Linked DNA regions of Anolis sagrei. The protein of the gene in region 1 purifies or fractionates together with the protein of each later gene. This does not show direct contact. Links are inferred from orthologs where the notes say so. Each region holds a gene or a part of one and is shown on either strand. Other genes may lie near its edges.

Region 1 (7,593 bases):
GCCAGACTAATCTGATCTCTTTTTTCGATAGAGTTACAAGCTGGGTAGATGCGGGGAATGCCGTGGATGTAGCGTACCTGGATTTCAGTAAGGCCTTCGACAAGGTCCCTCATGACCTTCTGGCAAACAAACTAGTCTAATGTGGGCTAGGCAAAACTACGGTGAGGTGGATCTGTAATTGGTTAAATGGACGAACCCAGAGGGTGCTCACCAATGTTTCCTCTTCATCCTGGAAAGAAGTGACGAGCGGAGTGCCGCAGGGTTCCGTCCTGGGCCCGGTCTGTTCAACATCTCTATTAATGACTTAGATGAAGGCTTAGAAGGCATGATCATCAAGTTTGCAGACGACACCAAATTGGGAGGGATAGCCAATACACCAGAGGACAGGAGCAGGATTCAAAATGATCTTGACAGATTAGAGAGATGGGCCAAAACTAACAAAATGAAGTTCAACAGGGACAAATGCAAGATACTCCACTTTGGCAGGAAAAACTGATGATGTATCTAGAGCAAATTTGCCCAACATAACAAAATTTTAAGTACTGGTGAAATTTCTCAGGGTTAACCTGGCGTTATGTCAGTTGTAGTTCATACACATTGTGCATTTTGTACAATTGAAAAACTGACTTTTTCAAATAACCTGGGCAACGATGGGTACCCAAGCTAGCACAATAAAAATTTATACAAAAGAAGAAAAATAAAATATTTTCCCTCATCCCCTAATTTCATGAGTATTGAAACATTTTTAATTGACTGAACAGGCCTAATAATAATAAGCCATTGTATATAATGGGATTTGGGTATCCACTGATGGTCCTGGAACCACATCAAGCAGATACCAAAGCTCCTGTATAAAATCCACATTGAACTGGATTATATGGCAGTGTGGACTCATATAATCCAGTTCAAAGCAGATATTGTGGATTATCTGCTTTGATATTTTGGGGCTTTTTCCACACAGCTGAATAAAATCACTCATTTTCTCCTTTGAACTGGAATATATGGAAGTCTGGACTATCCCAGGGCCCTTCCACACAGCCCTATATCCCAGAATATCAAGGCAGAAAATCTCACAATATATATTATTGTTAGTATTATATTGCATTACATAATATTATAAATATTATATGTATATACAATATATTATATTGCTTTATATTATATTGGGTTGTTGTAGGTTTTTTGGGCTATATGGCCATGTTCTAGAGGCATTCTCTCCTGACGTTTCGCCTGCATCTATGGCAAGCATCCTCACTACTTCTGAGGATGCTTGCCATAGATGTAGGCGAAATGTCAGGAGAGAATGCCTCTAGAACATGGCCATATAGCCCCCCCCCCCCCAAAAAAACTACAACAACCCAGTGATTCCGGCCATGAAAGCCTTCGACAATACATTATATTATACTAGCTGTCCCCTGCCATGCATTGCTGTGGCCCAGTCTGTTGATCTAGAAAATAAAGTAATGAGAAAATGTTGGTTTCTAATATATGTAATTTCTTTATGCTTGTGGGTAAACAGCATTTCTGGTTGTTTCTTTGCCATTGTTGATGTGGAGATTGTCTGGTTTGCCCATCCTGGAACATGCAACATATCATTGTCCTTCTTTAGGGGTCCCTTTCAAATCTAGGATACTATATCTCTGTGTGTGTGAATAATATCTATCTATCTATCTATCTACCTATGGCTGGATGGTTCTTTGTTAGGAGGGCTTTGATTATGTTTTCTTGCCCTGGTGAAGGGAGTTGGACTGGATGGCCTTAAGTATTTTCTGTTGGTCATGGGGGTTCTGCGTGGGTAGTTTGGCCCGATTCTGTTGTTCGTGGGGTTCAGAATGCTCGTTGATTGTAGGTGAACTGTGAATCCCAGTAACTACAACACCCAAATGTCAAGGTCTATTCTCTCAAACCCCATCTGTGTTCATATTTGGGCGTATTGAGTGCTTGTGCCAAGTTTGGTCCAGATTCATCATTGTTTGAGTCCACAGTGCTCTCTGGATGTAGCTGAACTACAACTCCAAAACTCAAGGTCAATGCCCTTCTAGTGTTTTCTATTGGTCATGGGAGTTCTGTGTGCCACGTTTGGTTCAATTCCATCATTGGTGGAGTTCAGAATACTTTTTGATTGTAGGTGAACTATAAAGCCCAGCAACTACAACTCCCAAATCAAAAATTTTTGAATAAAGGACATACATTGGTTTGTTAGGTGTATGCTGTCCAAATTTGGTGCCAATTGGCCCACTGGTTTTTGAGTTTTGTGAATCCCACAAAGAAACATTACATTTTTTATTTATATAGATTATATTATTAGCATAGCACAGGCCACAAGGTGGAACTGCCCCCTGCCCCCCCCCTCACTTCACTCTGGCTCAGAGTGGCAAGTGGTGCTGGGGGGAGGGGCCCCCAACTGAAGACATTTAGGCCCCTTCCACACAGCTGTACAAAATCCACATTGAGTGGCAGTTGGTGCTGGGGAGAGGGCCCCCCAACTGATGACATTTAGGCCCCTTCCACACAGCTGTACAAAATCCACATTGAGTGGCAGTTGGTGCTGGGGAGAGGGCCCCCCAACTGAAGACATTTAGGCCCCTTCCACACAGCTGTACAAAATCCACATTGAGTGGCAGTTGGTGCTGGGGAGAGGGCCCCCCAACTGATGACATTTAGGCCCCTTCCACACAGCTGTACAAAATCCACATTGAGTGGCAGTTGGTGCTGGGGAGAGGGCCCCCAACTGAAGACATTTAGGCCCCTTCCACACAGCTGTACAAAATCCACATTGAGTGGCAGTTGGTGCTGGGGAGAGGGCCCCCCAACTGAAGACATTTAGGCCCCTTCCACACAGCTGTACAAAATCCACATTGAGTGGCAGTTGGTGCTGGGGAGAGGGCCCCCCAACTGAAGACATTTAGGCCCCTTCCACACAGCTGTACAAAATCCACATTGAGTGGCAGTTGGTGCTGGGGAGAGGGCCCCCCAACTGAAGACATTTAGGCCCCTTCCACACAGCTGTACAAAATCCACATTGAGTGGCAGTTGGTGCTGGGGAGAGGGCCCCCCAACTGATGACATTTAGGCCCCTTCCACACAGCTGTACAAAATCCACATTGAGTGGCAGTTGGTGCTGGGGAGAGGGCCCCCCAACTGAAGACATTTAGGCCCCTTCCACACAGCTGTACAAAATCCACATTGAGTGGCAGTTGGTGCTGGGGAGAGGGCCCCCCAACTGATGACATTTAGGCCCCTTCCACACAGCTGTACAAAATCCACATTGAGTGGCAGTTGGTGCTGGGGAGAGGGCCCCCCAACTGAAGACATTTAGGCCCCTTCCACACAGCTGTACAAAATCCACATTGAGTGGCAGTTGGTGCTGGGGAGAGGGCCCCCCAACTGATGACATTTAGGCCCCTTCCACACAGCTGTACAAAATCCACATTGAGTGGCAGTTGGTGCTGGGGAGAGGGCCCCCCAACTGAAGACATTTAGGCCCCTTCCACACAGCTGTACAAAATCCACATTGAGTGGCAGTTGGTGCTGGGGAGAGGGCCCCCCAACTGAAGACATTTAGGCCCCTTCCACACAGCTGTACAAAATCCACATTGAGTGGCAGTTGGTGCTGGGGAGAGGGCCCCCCAACTGAAGACATTTAGGCCCCTTCCACACAGCTGTACAAAATCCACATTGAGTGGCAGTTGGTGCTGGGGAGAGGGCCCCCCAACTGATGACATTTAGGCCCCTTCCACGCAGCTGTACAAAATCCACATTGAGTGGCAGTTGGTGCTGGGGAGAGGGCCCCCCAACTGATGACATTTAGGCCCCTTCCACGCAGCTGTACAAAATCCACATTGAGTGGCAGTTGGTGCTGGGGAGAGGGCCCCCCAACTGAAGACATTTAGGCCCCTTCCACACAGCTGTACAAAATCCACATTGAGTGGCAGTTGGTGCTGGGGAGAGGGCCCCCCAACTGAAGACATTTAGGCCCCTTCCACACAGCTGTACAAAATCCACATTGAGTGGCAGTTGGTGCTGGGGAGAGGGCCCCCCAACTGAAGACATTTAGGCCCCTTCCACACAGCTGTACAAAATCCACATTGAGTGGCAGTTGGTGCTGGGGAGAGGGCCCCCCAACTGATGACATTTAGGCCCCTTCCACGCAGCTGTACAAAATCCACATTGAGTGGCAGTTGGTGCTGGGGAGAGGGCCCCCCAACTGATGACATTTAGGCCCCTTCCACACAGCTGTATAAAATCCACACTGAACTGGATTATCTGGAAATGGACTTGATATTCTGATATGTCTGCGTGGAAGGGTTCCAAGGGCCTGTTGTACTTCTCCCTAAATATCAGGTTTCCATAAGGAGGCACCATGGCAGTGGCAGCTGAACAGCAGCACTTATAATGCGATATAATAGTACGAATAGGCTTTCACTTGGTTGTCTCTCTCGCGCGTGGCCCCTCTCTCCTCGCTCTGGTGAAAGCCTAGCCTCCCTCTCTCTCGCGCGCGCGCTCTCCCTCTCCTTTCCTTGGCCGCGGCGGGGGGTTGCCATGGTTCCGCGGGTCACGTGCGCAGGCGCGCGCGCGGGAGGCTTTCGAGGCGCGCGGAGCCGGGTGTGTGTGTGTGTATGAGAGAGAGAGAAGGAGCGCGCGCGTGCGGGAGAGACAGAGCGAGCCAGCGCGAGGCTCCTTCTTCCTCGAGGGCGCCTGAGGGAAGCAGCAGCGGCAGCGGCAGCGGCGGGAGCGGGGCCGGCCACCGCAGTGGCTCCTTCATGCTTCCTTGACGCTTGACTCGCGGAGCGGCCCCTTCGCAGCGCCCGGCATGAGCATCTCCGTCCCGGAGGGGCTGACGGAGCTGCTGCAAGGCTTCACCGTGGAGGTGCTGAGGAGCCAGCCAGGGGACCTGCTGGACTTCGCCCTCCAGTACTTCGGGCGCCTCAAGGCCGAGGAGGAGGAGGAGGAAGAGGAGGAGGGAGGGGACGCCGGCCGGCTCCATGCCGCCTCGCCGGGGACCCCGAGGGGGAAGCAGGCGCCCCGCGGCGGGGTCAACTTCGCCGAGGAGCCCATGCAGACTGACTCCGAGAGCGGCGAAGGCGACGAGGACGGCGAGGCGGAGGGCTTCCCCGGTGAGACGCAGAAAAAAGCCTCCCCCTCCCCTCTGTGTGTGAGTGTGAGTGTGTGGGAGGAGGCGGGGCCATGAAGAGGAGGCCCCGCCCACTCCCAGGGGCGTGACCAGGGTCTAGTTAGACCACGCCCCCTCTCCCACCCTCTAGGTTAGTGTTTCTCAACCTTCCTAATGCTGGGACTCCTTAATACAGTTCCTCATGTTGTGGTGACCCCAGAGGCGGCCCTAAGTAATTTTCAATGGTAAGCAAACAGTATTTTGGCGCCTGCCCCCCCCCCCCCAACCAATCATTGATATATATTTTCTGTTCCTCGTGGGAGTTCTGTGTGCCATATTTGGTTCAATTCCATCATTGGTGGAGTTCAGAATGCTCTTTGATTGTAGGTGAACTATACATCCCAGCATTTATTTATTTATTTATTTGGGGTGCTTCTACCCCGCCCTTCTCAACCCCCTAGGGGGGACTCAGGGCGGCTTACAAAAGGCACAATTCGATGCCTGACACTTCATAAAATACAACATACAATTGTCAACAATTATAACTAATTAAAACAATCAAACAATACAGTCGCGGCAATAAAATCATATTGTGGCCAATGTTCATCGATTCATAAATCCATGATCCGTCTAGCATCGTCATTATCCTTTCCTACGCTGGTCGTCATTGTCTTTTGTCCACTGCCAGCTTACCCGAAGGCCTGGTCCCACATCCAGGTTTTTAACTTCCTTCTGAAGGAGAGGAGGGATGTTGATGACCTAATCTCCCCGGGGAGTGCATTTCATAGGCGAGGGGCCACCAACGAGAAGGCCCTGTCCCTTGTCCCCACCAGTCTCACTTGTGATAAAGGTGGGGCCGAGAGCAGGGCCTCCCCAGAAGATCTTAAACTCCGAGGTGGGACGTAGAAGGAGATACGTTCGGACAGGTACGCTGGGCCGGAGCCGTAAAGGGTTTTGTAGGTCAAAACCAGCACTTCGAATTGTGCTCGGAACTGGATCGGCAGCCAGTGGAGCTGACATAGCAAGTGAGTGGTATGCTCCCTGTATGACGCAGTAACTACCCAGTAACTACACTTGCCGCACTTGCTCCTTTGCCTGGCCCGCTTTGGGTCTGGAGGCGTGCCTGAAGACCCCGGCGTGTGCACCAAAAGTCACTTCTTCTCCTGTCTTTCTCCTCAGCCATTGGGACCGAGAGAGAGAGAGATACATAGAGGTGGAGATGCCCACCTTTCCTGAAGGTAGGCGCAAAAACAAAGGTGGGAGCGGAGGTGGGAGATACCTCCAGCCAGAGGGGCTCTCTCTCTCTCTCTCGGTCCCAATGGCTGAAGAGAAAGTCAGGAGAAGAAGTGACTTTTGGGACACACACTGGGGCCTTCAGACACGCCTCCGCCCCTTGGCCCACCCACGGATTGGGGAAAGGAGAGGAGGCGGGTGGAGCGCCGGGGGATCGGGAAAGGGAGCCGGTCATGGGGAAGGGATCGAACGCGGAGAATGATTGAGCGCCGGCTCTGCTTGCGCACCCGGTGGCCGGGTGGAGCAGGAACGAGAGGGGCTAGGTGAGGCTCAAGGGCCCGGCCCCTTTGGGAAGAGGATCGCCCGGCAGCAAGGCAAGAAACCCGAGGCTCCCCCCGGACTGCTAGGGCTGTTGTGAGCTAAGGGGGCGCTCCTCAAGTGGCGGTCGAGGGGCATTTACAGAGGCGCCTCTGCGCCCCTGGCAAAAAGTGTTCTGCGACCGCTTACTTCGCGTAATGGACGAGCCGCCCCTGGATGACCCCCAACCATAACATTATTATTGTTGCTACTTCATAACTGAAATTTTGCTACTGTTATGAATCGTAATGTAAATATCTGATATGCAGGATGGATTTTCATTCACTGGATGAAATTTGGCACAAATACCTGTTACACCCAAATTTGAATACTGATGGGGTTTGGGGGGGGGGGGGATTGAGTTTTTCATTTAAGAGTTGTAGTTGCTGGGATTTATAGTTAACTTACAATCAAAGAGCATTTTGAACTCCACCAACTATTGAAATTAATGAATCTTGGCACACAGAACCCTCATAACCAACAGAAAATACTGGAAGGGTTTGGTGGGCATTGACCTTGAGTGTTGGAGTTGTAGTTCACCTACATCCAGAGAGCACTGTGGATCAAACAATAATGGATCTCAACCAAACTTGGCACAAGTACTCAATATGCCCAAATGTGAACACTGGTGGATTTTGGGGGAAATAGGCCTTGACATTTGGGAGTTGTTGTTGCTGGGATTTATAGTTCACCTACAATCAAAGAGCATTCTGAACCCCGCCCATGATAGAATTGGGCCAAACTTCCCACACAGAATCCTCATGACCAACAGAAAATACTGTGTTTTCTTATTATCTTTGGTGACCCCTCTGACACCCCCTCACGACCCCCATAGGGGTCCCTACCCCCAGGTTGAGAAACACTGCTCTTGGTTGTGCCTTTCTTTGGGC
Region 2 (7,129 bases), on another chromosome or scaffold:
TGTCACACTGTCCTGTGATATGGAGTTCATTGATGAAGTTGATGCTAGTTTCGGGAGAACAGGATGTGGCACAGCAGGGAGGTTGATGACAAATCCCCGGGTTCCTCACAGATGGAGAGATTTTTTTTTGTGTTGGGTGATCCAGTATGTCCATAGACTCCATTGTTCTGGATGGCCTGGCTATCAGCCCTCCGAGGTCCAGATAGATAGAGCCATTTACTTATTGTCCATGCAAATGGATCTGGTTGAGTCCTTTTTTAGGGGACTATCAGCCCAGGAAGTTTGGAAACTCCAAGAGCCATGAGTTGCTGGATCATGTAAAGGTTGTTTTCCTTAATATTTTCTAATATAGACATTAGGCCTGTTTGATCAAGAAAAAAATTGTTTCTAAAATCGATTTGTAATTGGGGTGTTTTTTTGTTTCGATATTTAAAATATTTACAAAACTTTCCAAAAAAATGTTTTGTTATTTACGAAATTTCGTAAATATTTACAAAACATTTTAGAAACAAATTTTTTCTTGATCAAACAGGCCTAGTAAGTGTGAATGTTGCAGTAATGGTCACCTTGATTAGCATTGAATGGCTTTCATTTCTCCCACCCTGGACATTCCATAGATAAACTGAAACTCCATTTGCCTAGTTTCCAACAGACCTCTGAGGAGGCCTGCCATAGATGTGGGCAAAATGTCAGGAGAGAATGCTTCTGGAACATGGTCATACATACAGCCCTGAAAACTCACAGCAAAAGAGCCTGAAAACTCACAGCAAGAGCGCCATCCGATCGGCTCCGGCTCCTGCGCCCTCCTCCTCCTCCTCCTCCTCCTCCTGGCACTTCCTGCAACACAGCTGGGAGGAGGAGGAGGAGGAGGAGGGCGCAGCAGCCGGAGCCGATTGGATGGCGCGCGCGCTCCTGCGCCCTCCTCCTCCTCCTCCTCCTCCTCCCAGCTGTGTTGCAGGAAGTGCCAGGAGGAGGAGGAGGAGGAGGGCGCAGGAGCGCGCGCGCCATCCAATCGGCTCCGGCTGCTGCGCCCTCCTCCTCCTCCTCCTGGCACTTCCTGCAACACAGCTGGGAGGAGGAGGAGGAGGAGGGCGCAGCAGCCGGAGCCGATTGGATGGCGCGCGCGCTCCTGCGCCCTCCTCCTCCTCCTCCTCCTCCCAGCTGTGTTGCAGGAAGTGCCAGGAGGAGGAGGAGGAGGAGGAGGAGGGCGCAGGAGCGCGCGCGCCATCCAATCGGCTCCGGCTGCTGCGCCCTCCTCCTCCTCCTCCTCCTCCTGGCACTTCCTGCAACATAGCTGGGAGGAGGAGGAGGAGGAGGAGGGCGCAGCAGCCGGAGCCGATTGGATGGCGCGCGCGCTCCTGCGCCCTCCTCCTCCTCCTCCTCCTCCCAGCTGTGTTGCAGGAAGTGCCAGGAGGAGGAGGGCGCAGGAGCGCGCGCGCCATCCAATCGGCTCCGGCTGCTGCGCCCTCCTCCTCCTCCTCCTGGCACTTCCTGCAACACAGCTGGGAGGAGGAGGAGGAGGAGGGCGCAGCAGCCGGAGCCGATTGGATGGCGCGCGCGCTCCTGCGCCCTCCTCCTCCTCCTCCTCCTCCTAGCTGTGTTGCAGGAAGTGCCAGGAGGAGGAGGAGGAGGAGGAGGAGGGCGCAGGAGCGCGCGCGCCATCCAATCGGCTCCGGCTGCTGCGCCCTCCTCCTCCTCCTGGCACTTCCTGCAACATAGCTGGGAGGAGGAGGAGGAGGAGGAGGGCGCAGCAGCCGGAGCCGATTGGATGGCGCGCGCGCTCCTGCGCCCTCCTCCTCCTCCTCCTCCTCCCAGCTGTGTTGCAGGAAGTGCCAGGAGGAGGAGGAGGAGGAGGAGGGCGCAGGAGCGCGCACGCCATCCAATCGGCTCCGGCTGCTGCGCCCTCCTCCTCCTCCTCCTCCTCCCAGCTGTGTTGCTCGCGCCGCCCCTTCACCCCGCCCGCCCCATTTACTGCTGGGTGCTTGGGAGCGCCGGATTGGCTCCCAGGCACCAGCAGCACAGCAGCCTCCATCCCATTAACGAGACGAGCTGAAGCTCGTAAAAAAAATGGGGCTGCTGTTTCGATATTTTTAAACCCTTCCGGGTTTGAAAATATGTTTTGAAATCGCGTCGGATATGGTAAAAATAACGATTAAATTACGAAATAACGAATTAACGAACTAAAACCGACAGGCCTAATAGACATACATAGATGCAGGGGATGGGGGTATGGGAGCATACATAGAGTTTATGGGGGGAGGGGGAATCATGCAGGGTCTAAGGGGAAATCATGTAAGCCCCCCAAAAGCCCATAAAAGTTCATAATGTTTGGCAAAAGTTTATAAAAGTTCCCATAAATTTCATGAAAGTTCATATGAACACATAAGAGTTCATGGGGGTGGGTGCATGGAAGTTCAGGGGAGCACTGAGTAGTCGGAGTCCATTCATAAAAACAGGAGGAGAGATAGGGGATTATGGGATCATTCCAGCCTGATGCCCTTGGCAAAACTATGAATTCCCTAATTTTGAACTATTTGTTCAGAATTCCGGGGGTGGGGTAGGGGTGGGTGGGGGGGCGGGTGACCTCCGATCACAGCCCTATATACCAGAATATCAAGGCAGAAAATCCCACAATATCTGCTTTGAACTGGGTTATCTAAGTCCACACTCAGATAATGTGGCATTTTCTGCCTTGATATTCTGGGATAAAGGGCTATGTGGAAGGGCCCTGGGAATATGGCAATGAGGACTCAGATAACCTAGATCAGGGGTCCTCAAACTAAGGCCCAGGGGCCAGATACGTCCCTCCAAGGTCATTTACCCGGCCCTCGCTCAGGGTCAACCTAAGTCTGAAACTACTTGAAAACACACACCAATAACAACAATCCTATCTCATTAGGCAAAAGTAGGTCCACACTTCCCATTGAAATACTAATAAGTTTATATTTGTTAAATTTTTTATTTTAATTATTGTATTGTTTTCAAGTGTTTTTTGCACTACAAATAAGATGTGCAGTGTGCATAGGAATTCATTCATGGTTTTTTTTTCCAAATTATAATCCGGCCATCCAACAGTTTGAGGAACTGTGACCTGGCCCTCTGTTTACAAAGTTTGAAGATCCCTGGCCTAGATTTTGAAAGCCACTCTATAATGATATAGAATCAATACCATTGGCATATCATGTTGTTCATTCGTTCAGTCGTCTCCGACTCTTCGTGACCTCATGGACCAGCCCACGCCAGAGCTCCCTGTCGGCCGTCACCACCCCCAGCTCCTTCAAGGTCAGTCCAGTCACTTCAAGGATGCCATCCATCCATCTTGCCCTTGGTTGGCCCCTCTTCCTTTTGCCTTCCACCTTCCCCAGCATAATTGTCTTCTCTAGGCTTTGCTGTCTCCTCATGATGTGACCAAAGTACTTCAACTTTGTCTCTAGTATCCTTCCTTCCAGTGAGCAGCCGGGCTTTATTTCCTGGAGGATGGACTGGTTGGATCTTCTCGCAGTCCAAGGCACTCTCAGCACTTTCCTCCAGCACTACAGCTCAAAAGCATCGATCTTCCTTCGCTCAGCCTTCCCTAAGGTCCAGCTCTCACATCTGTAGCTTACTACAGGGAATACCATGGCTTTGACTAGGCAGATCTTTGTTGCCAGTCTGATGTCTCTGCTCTTTACTATTTTATTTAGAGTGGACATTGCTCTCTTCCCAAGAAGATTTCATCTGATTTCCTGGCCACAGTCTGCATCTGCAGTAATCTTTGCACCTAGAAATATCATATAATATTCTAATATATGTTACTTTGCACACAGATCTGCTGATATTAATGAAATGTTGGTCTTTTAAGGACTAACATTGTAACGCAGGCATGGGGCAAACTTGGGCCCTCCGGGTGTTTTGGACTTCAACTCCCACAATTCCTAACAGCCTCAGGCTTCTTCCTTAAACGGCTGAGGAGGAAAAGGAAGAGGCCTGAGGCTGTTAGGAATTGTGGGAGTTGAAGTCCAATACACCTGGAGGGCCCAAGTTTTGCCCCAAGCCTGCTGTAACGTGTTGCAGTGAAGGCCCCAGGTGTGTCCTCTTCCTCAGCCCGGGCCCTGGCAGTGGCACCTCAAGGGCGCTCCTGCGCATGCGCGGTACGTCAGGCGACGCGGCGGGGGCGCGTGCGGCAGATGGAGACTGAAGGGGGCCGCGGCGGCCGCCGTCCGGAGAGGCAGTTGGGGATGGAGGCCACGAGTCTCGCGAGAGGAAGTGGCGAAGGGGCCCCAGCTGCGGCGGCGAGGTGGTTTGGGCTGCGGTGAGGAGGGCGCGGCGGAGGTCTGAGGCAATTGGCCGGCGGCAGGTAAGGCGGCGGCCCCTCAGAAAGACGAAGGGAAAGGAGCCCAATGGTGGCGGCCGAAGGAAGGAGGCCTGTCAGGCCCCGCATGCCTCTTCGCCCCATTTCCCTCACGGGTTATCTCTCTCTCACACACACACACAGCCCAGGGAAGGTTAATACTTGACCAATGCCCAAAGGAAGGATTTCTGAGGCGGGCCGTTGAGGCGTTTTTAGGTCGCTTGGGGCCGGAGTCAACTCCCAATTGCTTCGGCCACGAAGGGGTTACGGGCTGCCAGGCGTTTTGGACTTCAACTCCCAGAATCCCTGAGCGTCGGCCTAGGCAGCCAAGGCTTCTGGGAGTTGAAGTCCAATACCCGCGAAGGAACAGAGTCTGACAGCCTCTGACAGCTTGTCTCACAGCTTCGCCTCAGGATACAACTTTAGTAATAATAACAACAACGACAATAATAACAACTAGCTGTCCCCTGCCACGCGTTGCTGTGGCCCAGTCTGGTGATCTGGAAAATAAAGTGACGAGAAAGTGTTGGTTTCTAATATATGTAATTTCTTTCTGCTTGTGGGTAAACAGTATTTCTTCTTGTTTCTTTGTCAATATTGGTATAGAGATTGTCTGGTCTGCCTTCTCTGGAACATGCAACATATAATTGTCCTTCTTTAGGGGTCCCTTTCAAATCTAGGATACAATATCTGTGTGTGTGTGTGTGAATCATATATATCTATCTATATCTTGGCCCCCCCGGTGGCGCAGTGGGTTAAAGCACTGAGCTGCTGAGTTTGTTGACCAAAAGGTCGCAGGTTCGATTCCAGGGAGTGGTGTGAGCTTCCGCTGTCAGTCCTAGTTTCTGCCAACCTAGCAGTTTGACAACATGCAAATGTGAGTAGATCAATAGGTACCGCTCCGGCGGGAAGGTAACGGCGCTCCATGCGGCCATGCTGGCCACATGACCTTGGAGGTGTCTATGGACAACGCTGGCTCTTCGGCTTAGAAATGGAGATGAGCACCAAACCCCAGAGTCGGACACGACTGGACTTAATGTCAGGGGACAACCTTTACCTTTTTATCTGTGGCTAGATGGCTCTTTATCAGGAGGGCTTTGAATACATTTTCTTGCCCTGGTGAAGGGAGTTGGACTGGATGCCCTTAAGTATGGGGGTTCTGTGTGGGAAGTTTGCCCCAATTCTGTCATTTGTGGGGTTCAGCATGCTTTTTGATTGTAGGTGAACTATAAATCCCAGTAACTACAACTCCCAAATGTCAGGGTCTATTTCCCCCAAACTCCATCTGTGTTCATATTTGGGCATATGGAGCATCCGTGCCAAGTTTGGTCCAGATGCATCATTGTTTGAGTCCACAGTGCTCTCTGGGTATAAGTGTACTACAACTCCCAAACTCAAGGTCAATGCCTACCAAACCCTTCTAGTCTTTTCTGTTGGTCATGGGAATCCTGTGTGCCACATTTGGTTCAATTCCATCATTGATGGAGTTCAGAATGCTCTTTGATTGTAGGTTAATTATAAATCCCAGGAGCTACAACTCCCAAATGACAAAATCAATTTTTTTTTTTAGTGAAGGACATACATTAGGTTGTTAGGTGTATGCCGTCCAAATTTGGTGTCAATTTGTCCAGTGGGTTTTGAGTTGTGTTAATCCTACAAACAAACATTACATTTTTATTTATATAGATAATAATAACTAGCCGTCCCCTGCCATGCATTGCTATGGCCCAGTCTGGTGATCTGGAAAATAAAGTAAAGAGAAAGTGTTGGTTTCTAATATATGTAATTTCTTTATGCTTTTGGGTGAGTAGTATTTCTTGCTGTTTCTTTGTCAGTGTTGATGAGGAGATTATCTGGTTTGCCTACTCTGGAACATGCAGACTGTGCACGTTTGGGACTGTGCAATGAAGCAGCGATAGGAACCTTTAGTATGCCAACCAAATTTGATATGGTTGTTCAGACAGTTTTAAGTAGTGGATTTTAATGTCAAGATAAGTGGTTTTAATGCTTTTGCATGTGTATGGTCTAATATGTTTCGGCATTGAATGTTTGCAGTTTATATGTTGTGCTACGCCCTGAGTCCCCTTCGGGGTGAGAAGGGCGGAATATAAATGCTTTAAATAAATAAATAAATAAATAAATAAATAATTGTCCTTCTTTAGGAGTCCCTTTCAGATCTAGGATACTATATCTGTGTGTGTGTGAATCATATATATCTATCTATATCTATGGCTGGATGGCTCCTTGTCAGGAGGGATTTGATTACGTTTTCTTACCCTGGTGAAGGGAGTTGGTCATGGGAGGCCTGTGTGTGACGTTTGGTTAATTCCATCATTGGTGGAGTTCAGAATGCTCTTTGATTGTAGGTTAATTATAAATCCCAGCAACTACAACTTCCGAATGACAAAATCATTTTTTTTAGTGATGGTCACTCCTTGGGTTAGTAGGTGTCTTGTGGCCAAATTTGGCGGCAATTCGTCCAGCAGATTTTGAGTTATGATGTCACTCAAAACAAACAGAGCATTTAGATAGATAGATAGATAGATAGATAGATAATAATACAGACAGAGAAGCCATTGGAATCCACAAGCGTGTGGACAATTTCAATAGAAAGGAGGAAACCATGAAAATAAACAAAATCTAGCTACCAGTATGGAAAAAAACCCCACTAAAATCAGGACAGGAAATAAAGAACAACACTCTGAAAAACAGGGGAATTCCAGACAAGAATCAACCAGGGCCAGCTAACATATCCCAACAAAGGATGCCCCAGGCAGCAACCAGCCAGGCTTTGAAGCT
Region 3 (7,952 bases), on another chromosome or scaffold:
AGTTACTGTATATTCATATAATGCATTATAGGACCAGCGTAGATTCATATAATGCATTATAGGCCAGTTTAGGCTCATATTATGCACAATATGGCCAGCGTAGATTCATATAATGCATTATAGGTCAGTGTATGCTCCTATAATACACTATAGGGCCAGCGTAGACTCATATAATGTATTATAGGATCAGTGTAGACTCCTATGATGCACTATAGGGATAATGTAGACTCATATAATGCACTATAGGGATAATGTAGATTCATATAGTGCATTATAGTCAGTATGCATTACAGAGTCAGTGCATACTCATATAGTGCATTATAGGGCCAGTGTAGACTCATATAATGCATTATAGGATCAGTGTAGACCCGTATGATGCACTATATGGATAATGTAGGTTCATATAATGCACTATAGGGACAGTGTAGATTCATATAGTGCATTATAGTCAGTATGCATTACAGAGTCAGTGCATACTCATATAGTACATTATAGGGCCAGCATAGATTTATATAATGCATTATAGGTCAGTGTAGGCTCATATAATGCATTATAGGGACAGCGCAGACCCATACAATGCATTATAGGGACAGCATAGATTCATATAATGCATTATAGGTCACTGTAGGCTCATATAATGCTTGAGAGGGACAGTGTAGACTCATATAATGCATTATAGGATCAGTGTTGACTCATGTAATGCACTATAGGGACAGCGTAGACCCTTACAATGCATTACTGGGTCAGTGCCAATGCATATAATGTAATTCAACTACACTGAACTGCATCATATGGGTCTACACTGACTATATAATGCAGTTCCAAACTGCATTATATGTCAGTACGGATCCAGCCGTTGTCCTAGAGGGCACCAGGTTAGAGAAAAGGATAGGCAAAAATACATAAAAAGGAGAACCCACAGAAACTGCAATGGAAAAGGCTGGTGTTGGGAAGGGGATCCAAGGAAAGCTCCAATTTTGCCAGCAGCCAGACAGCATCTGCTTGTATCTGCAATGCACTAATCCTAATCCTAAAAGCATTCCTTCCCAGCTCTCGACTCGTTCCACCCGACCCACAGATGCTGGCCTTTCGTGGCTGAACCTGCCTTCCAAACAGACAAACAATGCCCAGACGCTGAACTTTTGCTGTCGTCGGCTGCAATTTCCCGGTTTAAGAGGGGCTTAATAATCGCCTGAAATGGACAACTCATTAAGATAAGACTCAACAAAAAGAGCCAATCCGATTAGCGTCGCTGGGCAAATTTGTTAACTGCTTCAAAATGATACCATCACCGTCCCCTCTTTCAGGTCTCGGCAGTACGACATAATCATACATAAATATTCATCTCAGTTAACTGGAACACTCAAGCAACTGGCTAAAAAATTGAAGAAAAATTGATATATATATATATATATATAGAGAGAGAGAGAGAGAGAGAGAGAGGAAGCTAAAAATCAAGGTATGTATGTATGTTGGTTTGTCCCACAATGGCTCCTTCATGGATTAGTGGATCTGGACCAAATCTGGCCCACAGACCCTTTGATGCTGAAAATTGGCGGTTTTTCAAAGCACCGCGGATCCCGAGGGATGCCTGGCAAGCTTCACTATCCAAGGATGTTTTGAGTCAGGAATCGGGAAGCTCAACAGGTTGAAGGCAAATGACAGAGACTTTATTCTGTCAATCTGCACAAAGGGGACAAGTGTAAAAGGATGATAACCATAAACAGGCATTTTTATACATGAAGATTCTCATGAATCAACATTGCTATGTTTTGAAACTCCCTCCCTTTCCCCTGATTGGTTGTCGCTGAGAAGCCAGCTGGCGTTCTCCAGGCCTCTGATTGGTCAGGAGGCAGGTCCTAGCCGGTGCACACCCTGATTGGAGGAAGCAGTGGTGACGTAGGCGGGGATCTCCTCCCAGCTGGCTTCCAATAGGCCGGTGGAGGTAGTCTTGGGGGAGATGTCTCCAGAGGCTATGCCAGCATTTCTCAACCTGGGGGTCGGGACCCCTGAAGGGATCACAAGAGGGCTATTAATGGGGTCTCCGAAGACCATAAGAAAACACAGTATTTTCTGTTGGTCATGGCGATTCTGTGTGGGAAGTTTGGCTCAATTCTATCGGTGGGGTTCAGAATGTTCTTTGATTTTAGGTGAGCTATAAATCCCAGCAACTACAACTTCCAAATGTCAAGGTCTATTTCCCCCAAACTCCACCACTGTTAACATTTAGGCATATTGAGTATTGGTGCCATGTTTGGTCCAGATCCATCACTGATTGCTGGGATTTATGGTTCACCTACAATCAAAGAGCCTTCTGAACTCCACCAGCGATAGAATTGGGCTAAACTTCCCACACAGAACTGCCATGATCAACAGAAAGTACTCTTGTTTTCTAATGTTCTTTGGCAACCCCTTTGATACCCCCGGCAACCCCCACAGGGGTCCCAACCCCCAGGTTGAGAAACATTGGTTTAGGGACTTATAAGCTAAAGCCAGCACTTTGGAAGGGTAAGGTGTATGAAGAAAAGAATGGAAGAAAGAAATAGAGAAGGAACGAAGGGAAAGATGTATGAAGGAAAGGATGGAAGAAGGAAGGAAGAAAGGAAGGAAGGAAGGAAGGGGAAGGTCTATGAAGGAAAGGATGGAAGAAGGAAGGAAGGAAGGAAGGAAGGAAGGAAGGAAGGGGATGGTGTATGAAGGAAAGAATGGAAGAAGGAAATAGAAAAGGAAGGAAGGAAGCAAGGAAGGAAGGAAGGAAGGAGAAAGTTATGAAGGAAAGAATGGAAGAAGGAAATAGAAAAGGAAGGAAGGAAGCAAGGAAGGAAGGAAGGAAGGAGAAAGTTATGAAGGAAAGAATGGAAGAAGGAAATAGAAAAGGAAGGAAGGAAGGAAGGGGATGGTGTATGAAGGAAAGAATGGAAGAAGGAAATAGAAAAGGAAGGAAGGAAGCAAGGAAGGAAGGAAGGAAGGAGAAAGTTATGAAGGAAAGAATGGAAGAAGGAAATAGAAAAGGAAGGAAGCAAGGAAGGAAGGAAGGAAGGAAGGAAGGAGAAAGTTATGAAGGAAAGAATGGAAGAAGGAAATAGAAAAGGAAGGAAGGAAGGAAGGGGAAGGTGTATGAAGGAAAGAATGGAAGAAGGAAATAGAAAAGGAAGGAAGGAAGGAAGGAAGGAAGGAGAAAGTTATGAAGGAAAGAATGGAAGAAGGAAATAGAAAAGGAAGGAAGGAAGGAAGGGGATGGTGTATGAAGGAAAGAATGGAAGAAGGAAATAGAAAAGGAAGGAAGGAAGCAAGGAAGGAAGGAAGGAAGGAGAAAGTTATGAAGGAAAGAATGGAAGAAGGAAATAGAAAAGGAAGGAAGGAAGCAAGGAAGGAAGGAAGGAAGGAAGGAGAAAGTTATGAAGGAAAGAATGGAAGAAGGAAATAGAAAAGGAAGGAAGGAAGGAAGGGGAAGGTGTATGAAGGAAAGAATGGAAGAAGGAAATAGAAAAGGAAGGAAGGAAGGAAGGGGAAGGTGTATGAAGGAAAGAATGGAAGAAGGAAATAGAAAAGGAAGGAAGGAAGGAGAAAGTTATGAAGGAAAGAATGGAAGAAGGAAATAGAAAAGGAAGGAAGGAAGGAAGGGGATGGTGTATGAAGGAAAGAATGGAAGAAGGAAATAGAAAAGGAAGGAAGGAAGCAAGGAAGCAAGGAAGGAAGGAGAAAGTTATGAAGGAAAGAATGGAAGAAGGAAATAGAAAAGGAAGGAAGGAAGCAAGGAAGGAAGGAAGGAAGGAAGGAGAAAGTTATGAAGGAAAGAATGGAAGAAGGAAATAGAAAAGGAAGGAAGGAAGGAAGGGGAAGGTGTATGAAGGAAAGAATGGAAGAAGGAAATAGAAAAGGAAGGAAGGGGAAGGTGTATGAAGGAAAGAATGGAAGAAGGAAATAGAAAAGGAAGGAAGGAAGGAGAAAGTTATGAAGGAAAGAATGGAAGAAGGAAATAGAAAAGGAAGGAAGGAAGGAAGGGGATGGTGTATGAAGGAAAGAATGGAAGAAGGAAATAGAAAAGGAAGGAAGGAAGCAAGGAAGGAAGGAAGGAAGGAGAAAGTTATGAAGGAAAGAATGGAAGAAGGAAATAGAAAAGGAAGGAAGGAAGCAAGGAAGGAAGGAAGGAAGGAAGGAAGGAGAAAGTTATGAAGGAAAGAATGGAAGAAGGAAATAGAAAAGGAAGGAAGGAAGGAAGGGGAAGGTGTATGCAGGAAAGGATGAAAGAAGGAAATAGAAAAGGAAGGAAGGAAGGGGAAGGTGTATGAAGGAAAGGATGGAAGAAGGAAATAGAAAAGGAAGGAAGGAAGGAAGGGGAAGGTTATGAAGGAAAGAATGGAAGAAGGAAGGAAGGGGAAGGTGTATGAAGGAAAGAATGGAAGAAGGAAATAGAAAAGGAAGGATGGAAGAAAAGGAAGGAAGGGGAAGGCGTATGAAGGAAAGAATGGCTCTTTTCACATTCAGCTGGCTGTGAAGGGGCGGTCCTTAGCCCTTTCCTATCGCTCACTGCGCAGGCGCTTCCAACATCCGGGCCTCCCCTCCCCTGGCATCCCTGAGTCCCTCAACAAAGATGGCGCGCGAAGCACCCTCAAAGAACAATTCCCCCAGGAAAGAAAGAGCTCGCCCTACCCTTGAGTGCAGTTGCCCTTTCAAGGGCGGCTGCGTCGGCTTCAAGATGGCCGACGGGCTTTTCCAAAATGGCGCTCAGCTCCACAGCGGATTATAGAGAGCTGATTGCCTAAAACTCTATTATTACTATTAATTATTTAGACTGGATGGCCATCTGTCAGGGACCCTTTTGTACTTTTCCTGGTTGGACAGGGTGGTCTCTATGTTTCAGTGAGTCTATGATTCTCGAGCCCCTCCTCCTTCCCCGCCCACTTTTGCCACATCGATTCCCTCAACAAAGATGGCGCCCGAGGCGTTTCTGGAGAGGGAAGAGGGCACGCGGCCTAAGGCGGTCTGCGGCTGCCCTTCTGAGGGCGGCTTCGTTGGCTTCGGGAAGATGGCGTCGGGCTGAGTGGCGGTTTGAATTCCGAGCCCGCCGCCAAAGTCGGGAGCAGAGCAGCCCGGGCCACCGGCGGAGGAGCCGCAGCCGCCCGCTCTCGTCCCCTCTCTCTCTCCCTCCGCCATGGACTCCCTCCCGGCGGAGGACCCCACCTTGCCCTTGGGCTTCAACGGCAGGTGAGGACGAGGGCGGGTTTGGCCCTCAAAAGGCGCTAGGCCGCGAAAAAGGGGGGGGGGGAGGGGGGAATTAACTCCTTCGGGCCCAAGACTGAATTCCAGTCGGAGGACAAAGAAGCAGGCGTGAGAGAAGAGAAGTCTTTCCAAGGGAAGGGAAATGGGTTCAGTAGAGCCTCCAGGCATAGGCGCAGTCTACCTGAGAGTAACATAGTATTATACAATAGAGCGTCCAGACACAGGCACAGTCTACCTGAGACTTGGATTGGTTTGCTTTTAGTATATAATGTAATAGAATATGAAACTAATAATACAATATAATAATAGATAACAATAATAATATTGCAATATAATAATACAATACTACTGGTACTTACTTAGGCTATCCTTTGTTGGCCGAGTATTCTTGTGGATCCGCAGGTGCCTGTGGAGCCCTATTCTTATTTCTTATTTATTTATTTACTTACTTTGCTTGTATACCGCAGTTTCTCAGCCCGTAGGCGACTCAACGCGGTTCACAACAAGAGCAAAAAAGTCAATCGTACAACATACAATATTTAAAACCCTTAACAGCCTAGTATACAAATAATGACACATCAATAACAACACATTAGCATCTCGTAACTAAAATCGTGATCCAATTCGTCATCCATAAATCCGTTCCTATATTCATCGTTCAATTGCACTATTTATCTGAACGCCTGTTCAAACAGCCAGGTTTTTAGTTTTCTTCAAAACACGATTAACGAAGGGGCTGATCTAATGTCCATGGGAAGGGCGTTCCACAGCCGAGGGGCCACCAAAGAAGGCCCTGTCCCTCGTCCCCGCCAGCCATGCTTGCGATGCAGGCGGGATTGAGAGCAGGACCTCCGCAGAAGATCTTAAAGTCCTGGTGGGTTCATAGGCAGAGATACGTTCGGATAGGTAGCTTGGGCCAGAACCGTTTAGGGCTTTATAGGCCAACGCCAGCACTTTGAATTAAGCCCGGTAGCAAATCGGCAGCCAGTGGAGCTGGTGCAGCAAGGGAGTTGTATTCTTGACCTGCATCTTCTCCCACAGTGAGGGCATTGGTTTCCAGGTGGACGGTGGTCCCGGTCCTCGGGGTTGGCTTGACGCACCTTCCTCTTGGCATGTTTCTTTCTTTTGTCCTCCATTTGTGCCTCTTCAAATTCTGCAGCACTGCTGGTCACAGCTGACCTCCAGCTGGAGACTTGTCCACAGCTGTGTAGACTTGTCCATAGCTTACTCATTGTCCGAGTAGGATTGTCTTCCAAGATCAGTGTCCTGGCGGTGGGTCCGTAGGTGACTGTGGAGCCCTATTCTTAATCTGCATGTTCTCCCGCAGTGAGAACATTGGCTTCCAGGTGGAAGACGGTCCCGGTTGGGGTTGGCTTGACGCGCCTTCCTCTTGGAACATTTCTCCCTTTCTCCCTCCATTCGTGCCTCTTCAAATTCTGCAGCACTGCTGGTCACAGCTGACCTCAAGCTGGAGACTTGTCCACAGCTGTGTAGACTTGTCCATAGCTTACTTACCTACTTAGATGAGCCCTCATTGTCCGAGTAGGATTGTCTTCCAAGATCAGTGTACTGGCGGTGGGCCCGTAGGTGACTGTGGAGCCTTATTCTTAATCTGCATGTTCTCCTGCAGTGAGAACATTGGCTTCCAGATGGAAGACAGTCCTGGTTGGTGTTGGCTTGATGAGCCTTCCTCTTGGCACATTTCTCTTTTTCGCCCTCCATTCGTGCCTCTTCAAATTCTACAGGACTGCTAGTCACAGCTGACCTCCAGCTGGAGCGCTCAAGGGCCAGGGCTTCCCAGTTCTCAGTGTCTATGCCAGAGTTTTTAAGGTGGCTTTGAACCCATCTTTAAATCTCTTTTCCTGCCCACCAACATTCCGTTTTCAGTTCTTGAGTTCAGAGTAGAGCAACTGCTTTGGGAAACGGTGATCAGGCATCCGGACAACGTGGCCGGTCCAGCGGAGTTGATGGCGGAGGACCATCGCTTCAGTGCTGGTGGTCTTTGCTTCTTCCAGCACGCTGACATTTGTCCGCTTCTCTTCCCAAGAGATTTGCAGGATTTTTCGGAGTCAGCGCTGATGGAATCATTCTAGGACTTGCATGTGACGTCTGTAGACAGTGCATGTTTCGCAGACATATAGCAGGGTTGGGAGGACAATAGCTTTATAAACAAGCACCTTGGTATCCCTACGGGTGTCCTGGTCCTCAAACACTCTCTGCTTCATTCAGAAAAATGTTGCACTCGCAGAGCTCAGGCGGTGTATTTCGGTGTCGATGTTGACTTTTGTGGTGAGGTGGCTGCCAAGGGTGCGAAAATGGTCAACATTTTCTAATGTTACACCATTAAGCTGTATTTCTGGCATTGGAGAGGGGATGGCTGGTGACTGCTGGAAGAGCACTTTGGTTTATCAATGTTTAATGACAGGCCAAGCTTCTCGTAAGCTTCTGCGAAGATGTGTAGAGTAGCTTGTAGGTCTTCTTCTGAATGCGCACAGACGTCGTTGTCATTAGCGTACTGGAGTTCTATAACGGATGTTGTTGTAATCTTGGTTTTGGCTTTCAGTCTGCTGAGGTTAAATAGCTTGCCATCTGGAACACGGCCAGACAGCCCGGAAAACTCACAGCAACCCATTGATGCCAGCCATGAAACCTTTGACAACACAGTGTTACTCCTGTTTCATTGTGCTGTTCTTACTTTGAAAATAGTGGCCATCCTCCAGAATCGTCAT
Region 4 (7,127 bases), on another chromosome or scaffold:
GAGATGTGCAGTGTGCATAGGAATTCATTCATTTTTTTCTCCAAATTATAATCTGGCCCTCCAACAGTTTGAGGGACTGTGACCTGGCCCTCTGCTTAAAAAGAGGCAAATAATAAAACATCAAGCAAAAACAATAAAACTCTAAAAACAATGACAACAATATTACAATTATAATATTGTATTATTATTACTAGTATTATATTGCATTACATTATGTGAGAGCCGTTCAGCAGTGGAACTCTCTGCCCCGGAGTGTCATGGAGGCTCCTTCTTTGGAAGCTTTTAAACAGAGGCTGGATGGCCACCTGTCAGGGGTGATTTGAATGCAATATTCCTGCTTCTTGGCAGAATGGGGTTGGACTGGATGGCCCATGAGGTCTCTTCCAACTCTAGGATTCTATGACTCTATGGTTATAATATTATAAATATTATATGTATATACAATATGCATTATATGAATCCATAGATATATAAACCCCACTTGCCTAGTTTCCAACAGACCCCTCAACCTCTGAGGATGCCTGTCATACATGTGAGGGAAACATCAGGAGAGAATGCTTCTGGAAGAGAATTCTGGAACAGCCTCAGCCACAGCAGTGTGTGGCAGGTGACGACTAGTATATATACGAGCATATAAGCCCACTTACCTAGTTTCCAACAGACCTGACAACCTCTGAGGGGAATTCCAGACAGGAAACAATCAGGACCAGCTAACACCTCCCAACCTGGGATTCCTCCCCAGGCAGGAAGCAGCCAGGCTTTGAAGCTGCAAGGCCATTCTTGTCTGCTGCAACCTTCAGCAGACAAGAGACCTTTCTCCCCTCCTCACAACCTCTGAAGAGGCCTGCCAAAGATGTGGGCGAAACGTCAGGAGAGAATGCTTCTGGAACAGACTGAGTCACAGCAGTGTGTGGCAGGTGACGACTAGTATATATACAAGTACATAAACCCCACTTACCTAGTTTCCAACAGACCTGACAACAACCTCTGAGGGGAATTCCAGACAGGGAACAATCAGGGCCAGCTAACACCTAAAAACCTGGGATGCCTCCCCAGGCAGGAAGCAGCCAGGCTTTGAAGCTGCAAGGCCATTCTTGCCTGTTGCAACCTTCAGCAGACAAGAGACCTTTCTCCCCTCCTCACAATCTCTGAGGGGAATTCCAGACAGGAAACAATCAGGGCCAGCTAACACCTCCCAACCTGGGATTCCTCCCCAGGCAGGAAGCAGCCAGGCTTTGAAGCTGCAAGGCCATTCTTGCCTGTTGCAACCTTCAGCAGACAAGAGACCTTTCTCCCCTCCTCACAATCTCTGAGGGGAATTCCAGACAGGAAACAATCAGGGCCAGCTAACACCTCCCAACCTGGGATTCCTCCCCAGGCAGGAAGCAGCCAGGCTTTGAAGCTGCAAGGCCATTCTTGTCTGTTGCAACCTTCAGCAAAGAGACCTTTCTCCCCTCCTCACAACCTCTGAAGAGGCCTGCCAAAGATGTGGGCGAAACATCAGGAGAGAATGCTTCTGGAACAGACTGGGCCACAGCAGTGTGTGGCAGGTGACAACTAGTATATATACGAGTATATAAACCCCACTTACCTAGTTTCCAACAGACCTGACAACCTCTGAGGGGAATTCCAGACAGGTAACAATCAGGGCCAGCTAACACCTCCCAACCTGGGATTCCTCCCCAGGCAGGAAGCAGCCAGGCTTTGAAACTGCAAGGCCATTCTTGTCTGCTGCAACCTTCAGCAGATAAGAGACCTTTCTCCCCTCCTCACAATCTCTGAGGGGAATTCCAGACAGGAAACAATCAGGGCCAGCTAACACCTCCCAACCTGGGATGCCTCCCCAGGCAGGAAGCAGCCAGGCTTTGAAGCTGCAAGGCCATTCTTGCCTGTTGCAACCTTCAGCAGACAAGAGACCTTTCTCCCCTCCTCACAATCTCTGAGGGGAATTCCAGACAGGAAACAATCAGGGCCAGCTAACACCTCCCAACCTGGGATTCCTCCCCAGGCAGGAAGCAGCCAGGCTTTGAAGCTGCAAGGCCATTCTTGTCTGTTGCAACCTTCAGCAAAGAGACCTTTCTCCCCTCCTCACAACCTCTGAAGAGGCCTGCCAAAGATGTGGGCGAAACATCAGGAGAGAATGCTTCTGGAACAGACTGGGCCACAGCAGTGTGTGGCAGGTGACAACTAGTATATATACGAGTATATAAACCCCACTTACCTAGTTTCCAACAGACCTGACAACCTCTGAGGGGAATTCCAGACAGGTAACAATCAGGGCCAGCTAACACCTCCCAACCTGGGATTCCTCCCCAGGCAGGAAGCAGCCAGGCTTTGAAACTGCAAGGCCATTCTTGTCTGCTGCAACCTTCAGCAGATAAGAGACCTTTCTCCCCTCCTCACAATCTCTGAGGGGAATTCCAGACAGGAAACAATCAGGGCCAGCTAACACCTCCCAACCTGGGGTTCTTCCCCAGGCAGGAAGCAGCCAGGCTTTGAAGCTGCAAGGCCATTCTTGTCTGCAGACAAGAGACCTTTCTCCCCTCCTCACAACCTCTGAGGAGGCCTAGATGTGGGCGAAACGTCAGGAGAGAATGCTTCTGGGACATAGCTATACTGCCCAGAAAACTCACAGCAACCCAGTGATTCCGGCCATGAAAGCCTTAGACAACACAGTAATGATATTAATAGTAATAGAATACCAATAGAGGGGCCTCCTGCAAACTTGGTTGGAAATCCAAGCCTTGTATGTAGTATCACAACAATACTAAAGGGCTGAGACTGACACACACACCCCCCCCCCGCCAAGGGGCAAAGGCAGAAGAACCGGAAGGGCGCGCAAGGGCCCCAAAGCAGGCCCCTCTCACCGTCCTGGGAGGCTTCTGCTCGGCCTGGGCCCGGGCCCCGCTCCGCTCCACGTGCCGCCTTCCTTCCCTGCCTCCCGCCCGCCGGGGCCCTTCAGAACGCTGAGGCATCCGACCAAAATACACAGCGTCCTCTTGGCCCCGCCCACCGCGCCTTTAAGGCCCCGCTCGCCCCGCCCCCTCCGCCCCACCCCCTCCCAGCCCGCGCGAGACTTCCCTTTCCCTCCCTGGGAGCAGGACAAGGCTGCCCATTGCGCATGCGTGACCCGACTCAGGCTCAAAGGAATGACGAGGAGGGACCGCGCAACGATTTCACCCGCTTTCTCATGACCCAGTGCTATGGGACCCTGGGAGATGTAGTATAATTCCACAGTGTTGAGCCATGGCAGTCAAAAGTGGTATCAAACTGAATTAATTCTACACATGGGCTTCCAGAACTGATGGAGTAAGACGAGAAAGGACCATACAATAGGTTGTTGTAGGTTTTTTCGGCCTGTATGGCCATGTTCTAGAGGCATTTTCTCCTGACGTTTCGCCTGCATCTATGGCAAGCATCCTCAGAGGTAGTGAGGTCTGTTGGAACTAGGAAAATGGGTTTATATATCTGTGGAATGACCAGGGTGGGGCAAAGGACTCTTGTCAGAAAGGGTGAAACCATTAAATGAACAAAATCTGGCTAAAAAAGATAAAGGTAGTCCCCTGACATGAAGTCCAGTCATGTCTGACTCTGGGGTGTGGTGCTCATCTCCATTTCTAAGCCGAAGAGCCAGCGTTGTCCGTAGACACCTCCAAGGTGTCTGATTCCCATGTCTGATCCCACAGCAAGCTGGCTCCAGGAAAGGCAAAAGCTGCACATCGCAAGTGTTGAACCTGACTCAGCACATAGAAGATGGCTTTGAAAGTCAGCAGATCACAGGAGCTATATTCATAGACCTGTCCGCAGCCTATGAGACTGTGAACCACCGCCTCCTCTTGAGAAAAATGTACAATATCACAAAGGACGACCACCTCACCCGCCTCATAGGAAACCTGCTACAAAACAGGAGCTTTTTTGTTGAGTTCCAGGGCCAGAGAAGCAGATGGCGGAAACAGAAGAACGGCCTGCCTCAGGGGAGCGTGCTTGCTCCATCCATGTTCAACATCTACACAAATGACCAGCCACTGCCAGAAGGGACAGAGAGTTTCATCTATGCTGATGATCGTGCCATTACTGCTCAAGCAGGGAGCTTTGAGATGGCAGAACAGAAGCTCTCCGAAGCTCTAGGTGCTCTTATTTATTTATTTATTTATTTATTTGCTATATTTATATACCGCCGTTTCTCAGCCTAGCCGGCGACTCAACGCAGTTTACAACATAATATAACAATCAACAGTATACAGTTAAAAGCATAAAAAACATAAAAAACATAAAAACACAATTCATACATCAATACCAATCCAGTTCGACTCTTAACTAAAAACGTGATCCAGTTCGTCATCCATGTTGCCAGTCCTTTAGTCAGTTACCATTCGTTGCATTGGGTTAACCAAATGCCTGCTTAAACACCCAGGTCTTCAATCTTCTTCGGAATATCATCAATGAAGGGGCTGATCTTACCTCCAAGGGCAGGGCGTTCCATAGCCGTGGGGCCACCACAGAAAAGGCCCTGTCTCTCGTACCCGCCAGCCGCACTGCCCATTACAGGGAAAACCAGCTGATCCCTAATCCATCTAAAACACAGACATGCGCCTTTCACCTTAAGAACGGACAAGCATCCCGAGCTCTGAGGATGACCTGGGAAGGAATCCCACTGGAGCATTGCAGCGCACCCAAATACCTGGGAGTCACTCTGGACCGTGCTCTTACCTACAAGAAGCACTGCCTGAACATCAAGCAAAAAGTGGGTGCTAGAAACAATATCACACGAAAGCTGACTGGCACAACCTGGGGATCACAACCAGACACAGTGAAGACATCTGCCCTTGCGCTATGCTACTCTGCTGCTGAGTACGCATGCCCAGTGTGGAAAACGTCTCACCACACTAAAACAATGGATGTGGCTCTTAATGAGACATGCCACATTATCACGGGGTGTCTGCGCCCTACACCACTGGAGAAATTACACTGCTTAGCCGGTATTGCACCACCAGACATCCGCCGGGAAGTAGCAGCCAATAGTGAAAGGACCAAGGCAGTGACATCTCCAGCTCATCCCTTGTTTGGTATCAGCCAGCATGTCAACGACTCAAATCAAGAAATACTTTTCTTAGATCTACAGAGACTCTCGCTGGAACACCTCAGCAAAAGTGGCAGGCCCAAACCCAGCACCTCAATCCGTGGGTGATACCAGATGAGAGACTCCCACTTGGGCACACAGAAGACTGGGCGACTTGGAAGGCACTGAACAGACTGCGCTCTGGCACCACGAGATGCAGAGCCAATCTTAAGAAATGGGGCTACAAAGTGGAATCCACGACATGCGAGTGCGGAGAAGAGCAAACCACTGACCTCCTGCTGCAATGCAACCTGAGCCCTGCCACATGCACCATGGAGGACCTTCTTGCGGCAACTCCAGAAGCACTCCAAGTGGCCAGATACTGGTCAAGGGACATTTAATCAGCTACCAAGTTTGCAAAATTTGTTTTTTTTAATCTGTTTGTTTGTTTTGTTCTGCTAGAAATGTAATACAATGTTCTGGTTGCGGATGACACGATAAATAAATAAATAATCTCCAAGGTCATGTGGCCAGCATGACTGCATGGAGCACCGTTACCTTCCCGCCGGAGCGGTACCTATTGATCTACTCACATTTGCATGTTTTCAAACTGCTAGGTTGGCAGAAGCTAGGGCTGACAGCAGAAGCTCACGCCGCTCCCGGAATCGAACCTGCAACCTTTTGATCAACAAGCTCAGCAGCTCAGTACTTTAACCCACTGCACCACCGGGGGCTTACCATTTCAATGGTAAGCAAACAGTATTTTGGCACCCCCCCCCCCCAAACCAATCATTGATATATATTTTCTGTCTGTTGTGGGAGTTGTGTGTGCCATATTTGGTTCAATTCCATCATTGGTGGAGTTCAGAATGATCTTTGATTGTAAGTAAACTATACATCCTAGTAACTACAACTCACATATGTCAAGGTCTATTTCCCCCCAAGAGTGCGCCTGAGCAAAATCAACTATACTGCAAATGTTTACTTTGCGTATTGGGTTGAGCCACCCCTGGGTCTAGGCCAGATATGGGCAAACTTGGGCCCTCCAGGTGTTTTGGACTTTAACTCCCAGAACTTCGAGTTCATAGAATCCTAGAGTTGGAAGAGACCTCGTGGGCCATCCAGTCCAATCCCATTCTGCCAAGAAGCAGGAAAACTGCATTCAAATCACCCCTGACAGATGGCTATCCAGCCTCTGTTTAAAAGCTTCCAAAGAAGGAGCCTCCACCACAATCCGCGGCAGAGAGTTCCACTGCTGAACAGCTCTCACAGCCAGGAAGTTCTTCATGTTCAGATGGAATCTCCTTTCTTGTAGTTTGAAGCCATTGTTCCATTGTGTCCCAGTCTCCAGGGCAGCAGGAAACAAGTTCGCTCCCTCCGCCCCATGACTCCCTCTCACATATTTATACATGCACCTCATCATGTCTCCTCTCAGCTTTCTCTTCTGCAGGTTAAACATGCCCAGTTCTTTAAGCCGCTCCTCATAGGCCTTGTTTTCCAGACCTTTGATCATTTGAGTCGCCCTCTGAACACATTCCAGCTGGTCAACCTCTCCCTTCAATTGTGGTGCTCAGAATTGGACACAGTATTCCAGGTGTGGTGTAACCAAGGCAGAATAGAGCATGGGGAGCATGAGTTTGCAGATGACACCAAATTGGGAGGGAGAGCCAAGACTCCGGAAGACAGAAGCAGAATTCAAAGTGATCTTCACAGATTAGAAAGATGATTGGCCAAAACTAACAAAATGAAGTTCAATTGGGACAAATGCAAGAGACTCCACTTAGGCAGAAAAACGAAATTCAAAGATACAGAATGGTGGATGCGTGGCTCGAGAGTAGTATGTGTGAAAAAGATATTGCGCTCCTTGTGGACAGCAACTTAAACATGAGCCAACAATGTGATGCAGCAGCAAAAAAAGCCAATGGGATTTTGGCCTGCATCAATAGGAGCATAGTGTCTAGATCCAGGGAAGTCATGCTCCCCATGCTCTATTCTGCCTTGGTTAGACCACACCTGGAATATTGTGTCCAATTCTGGGCACCACAATTCAAGAGAGATATTGACAAGC

The links.
Region 2: the proteins of PRKAR2B (region 1) and AKAP11 purify together in Homo sapiens (affinity purification with mass spectrometry; 3 studies listed by BioGRID and IntAct, counting the BioPlex papers as one, with this or other methods). This does not show direct contact. The link is inferred for Anolis sagrei from reciprocal best matches to the Homo sapiens genes PRKAR2B and AKAP11.
Region 3: the proteins of PRKAR2B (region 1) and CDK5RAP2 purify together in Homo sapiens (affinity purification with mass spectrometry; 3 studies listed by BioGRID and IntAct, counting the BioPlex papers as one, with this or other methods). This does not show direct contact. The link is inferred for Anolis sagrei from reciprocal best matches to the Homo sapiens genes PRKAR2B and CDK5RAP2.
Region 4: the proteins of PRKAR2B (region 1) and AKAP1 purify together in Homo sapiens (affinity purification with mass spectrometry; 3 studies listed by BioGRID and IntAct, counting the BioPlex papers as one, with this or other methods). This does not show direct contact. The link is inferred for Anolis sagrei from reciprocal best matches to the Homo sapiens genes PRKAR2B and AKAP1.

Annotation. Positions count from the first base shown.
Region 1 is NC_090025.1:83,399,385-83,406,977, reverse strand, and holds the start of PRKAR2B (cAMP-dependent protein kinase type II-beta regulatory subunit), read left to right. Parts: upstream 1-4,587; 5' UTR 4,588-4,813; coding exon 4,814-5,117; intron 5,118-7,593. UniProt on the Homo sapiens protein: Regulatory subunit of the cAMP-dependent protein kinases involved in cAMP signaling in cells. Type II regulatory chains mediate membrane association by binding to anchoring proteins, including the MAP2 kinase.
Region 2 is NC_090023.1:145,617,844-145,624,972, reverse strand, and holds the start of AKAP11 (A-kinase anchor protein 11), read left to right. Parts: upstream 1-4,117; 5' UTR 4,118-4,336; intron 4,337-7,129. UniProt on the Homo sapiens protein: Binds to type II regulatory subunits of protein kinase A and anchors/targets them.
Region 3 is NC_090031.1:14,494,222-14,502,173, reverse strand, and holds the start of CDK5RAP2 (CDK5 regulatory subunit-associated protein 2), read left to right. Parts: upstream 1-4,941; 5' UTR 4,942-5,155; coding exon 5,156-5,208; intron 5,209-7,952. UniProt on the Homo sapiens protein: Potential regulator of CDK5 activity via its interaction with CDK5R1. Negative regulator of centriole disengagement (licensing) which maintains centriole engagement and cohesion. Involved in regulation of mitotic spindle orientation.
Region 4 is NC_090031.1:20,968,562-20,975,688, forward strand, and holds the start of AKAP1 (A-kinase anchor protein 1, mitochondrial), read right to left. Parts: upstream 3,019-7,127; 5' UTR 2,868-3,018; intron 1-2,867.